Linked DNA regions of Sus scrofa. Each later gene encodes a partner of the first gene's protein in a complex. Links are inferred from orthologs where the notes say so. Each region holds a gene or a part of one and is shown in the gene's direction. Other genes may lie near its edges. The genes, in order: GIPR and GIP.

The links.
Region 2: the proteins of GIPR (region 1) and GIP are in contact, whole or in part, in a cryo-EM structure (PDB 7RA3), measured with the Homo sapiens proteins. The link is inferred for Sus scrofa from reciprocal best matches to the Homo sapiens genes GIPR and GIP. Residues at the interface, in NP_000155.1 of Homo sapiens: Gln30, Thr31, Ala32, Leu35, Tyr36, Trp39, Tyr68, Trp71, Leu88, Trp90, Arg101, Arg113, His115, Asn120, Gln130, Arg131, Leu134, Glu135, Leu137, Gln138, Tyr141, Tyr145, Arg183, Ile187, Arg190, Asp191, Pro197, Gly198, Pro199, Tyr200; in NP_004114.1 of Homo sapiens: Tyr52, Ala53, Glu54, Gly55, Thr56, Phe57, Ile58, Ser59, Asp60, Tyr61, Ser62, Ile63, Ala64, Met65, Asp66, Lys67, Ile68, His69, Gln70, Gln71, Phe73, Val74, Trp76, Leu77, Leu78, Lys81.

Annotation. Positions count from the first base shown.
Region 1 is NC_010448.4:52,028,968-52,032,783, forward strand, and holds part of GIPR (gastric inhibitory polypeptide receptor), read left to right. Parts: intron 1-160; coding exon 161-221; intron 222-531; coding exon 532-601; intron 602-720; coding exon 721-809; intron 810-900; coding exon 901-1,039; intron 1,040-3,071; coding exon of another isoform or gene 3,072-3,102; coding exon 3,103-3,444; 3' UTR 3,445-3,816. UniProt on the Homo sapiens protein: This is a receptor for GIP. The activity of this receptor is mediated by G proteins which activate adenylyl cyclase.
Region 2 is NC_010454.4:25,159,980-25,162,630, reverse strand, and holds the end of GIP (gastric inhibitory polypeptide), read left to right. Parts: intron 1-273; coding exon 274-375; coding exon of another isoform or gene 376-379; intron 380-1,703; coding exon 1,704-1,713; 3' UTR 1,714-1,848; downstream 1,849-2,651. UniProt on the Homo sapiens protein: Potent stimulator of insulin secretion and relatively poor inhibitor of gastric acid secretion.

The DNA of each region.
Region 1 (3,816 bases):
AGCCTCCCTGCTGCTCTCCCCCGGGGGTTCTCCTCCCCTCTCTAGGCTTCTGCCTCCCCTTCCCGGCGGGGATTCCGCGGGTCTTGGGCCTGGCTGGGGGGCCGTGCGCGCGCTCTGACAGCTGCGGCGGGGTGGGGGGCGGGGGTTGGGGTCTGCACAGGGGCCCCCGCGCTTTTCGTCATTCCTTGGGTGATCGTCAGGTACCTGTACGAGGACACGCAGTGAGTCGTGGGGCCTGGGGCGGGGCTTGGGAGGTGGGCGGAGCTTTGAGGGACGTGGGCGGGGCGTGATGGAAATTTGGGGCGGTTCTAATTGCCCCTAGGGCCCGGGTGGGGTCTAAAGGAAGGATGTCGCTTAGAAAGTTGTGTTCGAGAAGTACGGTCCGGGGAGGGACGGGGACTGGGCCTAAATCATAGCAGGCGGGGCTTTAAGGAAATGTGGGTGTGGTTTTAAGGAAGGTGGGCGGGGCCTGGGGAGCTTGATCCCTTGAGCCTATGACTTTCTGTCTTAGCTCTACTCCCCCTCCTCCAGGTGCTGGGAGCGGAATGATATCAAGGCCATTTGGTGGATCATAAGAACCCCTATCCTCCTAACCATCTTGGTACGGACGGCCCCACCTCCTCCAGGCTGGTCTCAGGGATTTCCCACCCTGGGAAGCAGGGAGCTATGCTTTGTTTTCCAAGACAGTATGGGGCTGGTTGAGTCTTTCTCTCCCCACAGATTAATTTTCTCATCTTCATCCGCATCCTTGGCATCCTCCTGTCAAAGCTGAGGACTCGACAGATGCGCTGCCCAGATTACCGGCTGAGGTAAAGGAGGGCGGTGGGGATGGAGGGGAAAGTGGTTGTGTGCAAGATGGGGACCTGGGGCTGTGGGACCACTGCTACCCTCTACCCCCAGGCTGGCTCGCTCCACGCTGACACTGGTGCCTCTGCTGGGCGTCCACGAGGTGGTGTTTGCTCCTGTGACTGAGGAACAGGCCCGGGGTGCCCTGCGCTTGGCCAAGCTCGCCTTTGAGATCTTCCTCAGCTCTTTCCAGGTGCCTAAGCGGGGTGCAGGCTCTACACCCTTTGACATGGGGTCCTCCTACCCAGAGGGGCAGAGGGCTACAATCACCCTGGCGCAGGAGCCGCTGCAGCCACAGAATGGGGCATGAAGATGGGATTTTGTTTATTTATTCTACACAAAGTACTGAGCTAGCTACATTCCAGGCTGGGGAAGTGGCAGGGAGAAGAAGGAGACCAGGCAGCTCCAGAGGTGGTGCCTCCTGGTTCAGATCAAGGGCTTCGGGCCAAATTTAGGTTCTAGCACATTCCAGCTCTGTGGCCTTCACCTCGGGGCAGGAGCAAGGGTGAGGCAGGTGAAGTGCCTCAAGTGCAAAAGGGAAGGAGATGCTTGTTCAACCTTGCACTTGCTTGCCCTATTCTAGTCCCCACCCTGATTTACCTTGTTGGGCCTCAGTTTTCTCATCTCTAAAGTGGGGACAATACTAGTCTCTCTCCATAAGGCCGCTCATTCAAAAAATTCAGGAAAAATTTATTGAACACTTACTATGTATGAAGTCTTCTAGGCTTACTGCAGTAAAACGGCCAAGAACCAAGTAGTCCCTACCCTCTACTGGGAGAGGTAAATGCTAAAGATGCTACTATGTAAGTAAAATATACAGAATATCAGATGGTGAGATGTGCCTAGAGGAGGGGGGGGGAGTTCCGCTGTGGCAAAAGGGGATCTGCAGCGTCTCTGCAGCGCTGGGACATGGGTTTGGTCCCTGGCCACACACATTGGTTTAAGGATTCTGCATTGCTGCAGTTTCAGTGTAGGTCGCCACTGCCGCTGGGATCTGATCCTTGGCCTAGGAATTCCATATGCCACATGGCGGCCAGAAAAGAAAATAAATCAATAAATAAAAGAAAACTGAAGTGAGGAGCAGGCAAAGAAGGATGAAGTTACAGACAGGGTTAGGGAAGGCCTCTCTGAAAAGACACTGGAGCGGAGACCCAAAGAAGAGGAGGGAACAAGGCAAGAAGGTATTTGGGGAAATGTTCCAGGAAGAGAAACACCAAGTGCAAGATCCCTGGGGCAGAAGATGGTACCTGTCACCTGTCATGATGGAGAAAGGCCAGCACGCCTGATGCAGGACAGTCAGCAAGAGCAAGGTGGGGGTAGGACAGAGGTGAGGTACCTGGGCAGGTCCTTGGACCAATTGAAGACTTAAGCTCTCTCTCTGAATGAATTTTTTTTTTTTTTTTGGTCTTTTTAGGGCTGCACCTGAGGCATATGGAAGTTCCCAGGCTAGGGGTCAAATTGGAGATGTAGCTGCTGGCCTACACCGCAGCTCACAGCAACGCCAGATCCTTAACCCACGGAGTGAGGCCAGGGATGGAACACACATCTTCATGGATACTAGTTGGGTTCATCACCTCTGAGCCACAGTGGGAACTCCTTTCCCTCCGAATGAGGTGGGAGCCAAGGAGCAGAGGGACATAATCAGACTTAAACCGGACTGTGAAAAGTGATAATAAGTAACATCTTAATAATTACACAGGAAATAATTGTTTCATATTAACGTGTGGATTACTTAATTATAAATCTATTTTATATTTATTTAAATTTATATGTAAAATATGTAAAATTTAAATAAATATAAAAACAACTTTTTATTAAAGTTTATTAATAATATATATTATGTAGAAAGTTATTATGAGAAACAGAAAAAGGCTTAACTATTGTCCCATGCACCAGAGCGTCTTACATATTAATAATACCTCACTTCTCACAACCACCACTGTATTATTCCTCCATTTTCCAGATGAAGAAACTGAGGCACAGGGGTTAAGCAGCTTGCCCAAGTGGGGAAGCGGTTATTACATCCAAGCAGCCTACTTTTGGGGTCACCTGTTCTTAGCCTCCATCCCCAAGTGCTTAGAAAATTGACCAGGGCCAAGGGCGGAGTCGGGAGCCAGGGAGAAAGTGTCGGCAATAGCCTAAGACCAGAGTGGCAGCAGACGAGGTGGTCTGGGGCCTAGAAAGGGTCCGAAGTCATTAAGAGGTGTTTATAACCCCGCCCCCAGCCCCGATTTAACCCTGCGCCTCGTCTGGCAGGGCTTCCTGGTCAGCGTCCTCTACTGCTTCATCAACAAGGAGGTAGGGAGAGCCTCGGCCCGCCGCCCGCGCCCTCTGGCGGTCGCGCATGGAACGGCGCGCCCGGCGCCGCCTCTGAGCGCAGTCCCGTTGCAGGTGCAGTCTGAGATCCGCCGGGGCTGGCACCGCTGCCGCCTGCGCCACAGCCTCGACGAGGAGCCGCGCCAGCCCCGGGAGCGCGCCTTCCAGACCCTGCGCTTGGGCTCCGGCCACGGCCAGGTCCCCGCGGGCCGCTCTCCGTGCTCAAGGACCCTTCCAGGTCCCGGGGATGAGGCCAGCCATATCTTGGAAAGTTACTGTTAGGCGGCAGGATTCTTGTGTCTATTCAGTTAGCACGTATTTATTGAGCGCCTGCTGTGTACCAGGCCTGGTGAAAAGGGCGCTGGGGAAACGGGTGGTGATGGGGTGAAAGGAAACAGAAGACAAGGTCTCTGTTGTTTTAGGATCACAACTGAGTGGCAGGAACAGACCTGAGGCCGACTCATCAAGCTATATATACACGGTGGAAGAGCTTATCAAGAATCCTTAGAAGGGGGCCTAGGGTGGTCTTGGGGCATCTCTGAGGAGGTTACATTTAGGCCATGCCTGAAAGAGGTGCGAGACAGCTTTGGGAAGACTTGGCGACAAGATTCTAGGCAGAAGGAAGAGCATCTGCAAGGGCTCTGGGCAGCCAAG
Region 2 (2,651 bases), on another chromosome or scaffold:
TTTGGAATGCATTCTGGGGAACACTTTTCGAGGTGGATGGGTGGGCTGGCTTCCGCTGGATTTCTTTGTCTCTGCCTCTATTGAAGAGCCTATAGTACCAGGCAGACAGATCTGGGTGGAGCTTTGAAAGCTGAGATAACTGAGAGGCAGCTGTGTTGACTTGCACCCCGCCCCCGACCCTGTCCCGCCATCTTGGAGTCCCAAGCCCTGTATTTACTCTCTTGCGGTGGGGCCCAGGCTAAAAGGGCCTGCCGGAGACTTTCTCCTTTGTAGCTCCCTCCCCCAGAACCCCGGTGATGATGATGTGCTAAAGGATGTACTGACTCGAGAGCTGCTGGCCTGGCTGGTGGAGCAGTTGGAGCTCTGCAGACTCCGGTAAGACTTTGGTGGCTTTGGGTGTCTTGCATAGGGTGGTTGTGAGCTTGAGCTTTGGGGTCAGATGTGCGTTCAGCTCTTTGCCCCAACACACACTAACAAATTACTTGGACTCTCTGAGCCTCAGGGTTTTCATGAAAATTGGGGCTAGTGAAACCACTTCAGGGGATTTGGTGGGATTTAAACAAGATAATGCAAGGGACAGGCCGAGAGCAACATCTGCAGAGTACCAAGAGTTTGGTCATGTGGACAATTATTAGTACTACTTGCATTTCTCCCTCAATGTCCTCCAGGTGAGACACTGCTCTCACCTCCCCTGCCCACCTGAGCCCATCCTATCCTTAGCTTTCCTCCTGTATCCTTGTGCCATGCGCAACTTCTCGATGATGGACCCACGAGAGATGGAGGCACGTTGCCCTTCTCTGTAGCTGCTGCTGGTCTCAGTAGTCCTTGAATCCATCTCATCAGCTAGGAAGTCTTTCCGTCTCTTATGTCTCAGAAGCAAGGGATGGCTCAAAACCATGGAACAGGAGTTCCCGTCGTGGTGCAGTGAATAACGAATCCAACTAGGAACCGTGAGGTTGCAGATTTGATCCCTGGCCTTGCTCAGTGGGTTAAGGATTCGGCGTTGCTGTGAGCTGTGGTGTAGGTTGCAGACGAGGCTCAGATCCTGAGTTGCTGTGGCTCTGGCGTAGCCCAGTGGCTACAGCTCCAATTAGACCCCTAGCCTGGGAATCTCCATATGCCATGGGTGTGGCCACAGAAAAGGCAAAAAGACAAAAAGACAAAAAGCAAAAAACAAAACCATGGAACAGATCCTTCCACTTGAAGGGTCAGACAGGACCCTCAATTAAGATGCAGAGGACGGAGTTCCCTTGGGTAGGACAGCTTAAGGATCTGGCATAGTCCCTGCTGTGGCGCCGTTTTGATTCCTGATACATGAAACTTCTGCATGATGCAAGTGTGCCCCCCCCCAAAAAAGATGCAAACACCAAGGCACAGAAACAAAAATAAATTCAGACTTCAGTTCTGGGAAGTTGAGGGACAGAGGGGACAAATTTGGGATGACTTCCTGTACGAGGGTTTGAAGGAAGAGATGGATGTGACCAGAACGGTGAAGAAGAGAGTATGAGAAAGTCTCCCCAGGAAGATGGATAACAGTCTCTGTGCTTTTGGGAATCATTTTGATGATTTATAATTAAAAAGGTAATCTGGAGGTAGGAGCCTTTGAACTCTGGCTGGGCGCCAGGATAAATTTACTTTACTGACTCCAAGCCGATACTGACCCTCTTCTCCACCTCTCCCCCTCCTCCCTCTACTCTGCACAGGTTTCCGTGACACCGACCAAACCCAGCTCAGGATTGGACTCTGCCCTTCACGTACTGAGCTCCTGCCCCAGCTCCACTCCAGGATACCCCAAAGAAACCAAACTAAGTTTAAACCAAAATAAAATCTTTGTGCCCAAAGTCAAAACTTATTCGTGTGGCTACTGAGCACTGATTGCATCATTGTCCTCGTGTGTGTGTGTGTGTGTGTGTGTGTGTGTGTGTGTGTGTGTGCGCGCCACCAGGGCAAAGGAGATACGCCCCTACCCATCTGTCGATTCATCTGTTTTTTTCCACAAACACTTATTGGGCACTTAACATAGGCAGCGACTGTGCTGAACCCTGGGTATACAGCCTGAACCCTGGGTATACAGCAATGATGGAGACAAGACACCATCCTTGGTCCCAAGAAGTTTATAGTCTAGTGGTGGAGAGAGACCTTAATCTTTTCTTTTCTTTTCTTTTCTCTCTCTCTCTCCCTCTCTCTCTCTCTCTCTCTCTCTCTTTTTCTTTCTTTCTTTCTTTTTAGGGCTGCATCTGAGGCATATGGAAGTTCCCAGGCTAGGGCTTGAATCAGAGCTGCAGCTGCCAACCTACAGCACAGCTCACAGCAATGCTGCATCCTTAACCCACTGAGTGAGGCCAGGGATCAGAGCCTCATCCTCATGGATACTGGTTGAGTTTGTAACCTGCTGAGACAAAACAGGAACTCCTTTCTCCCCCATTTGTAAAAGTTTTATTGGAGTTCCCATCGTGGCTCAGTGGTTAACGCATCTGACTAGGAACCATGAGGTTGTGGGTTCGATCCCTGGCCTCACTCAGTGGGTTAAGGATCCGGCATTGCCTTGAGCTGTGGTGTAGATCGAAGATGCAGCTCGGATCTGGTGTGGCTGTGGCGTAGGCTGGTGGCTACAGCTCCGATACAACCCCTAGCCTGGGAACCTCCATATG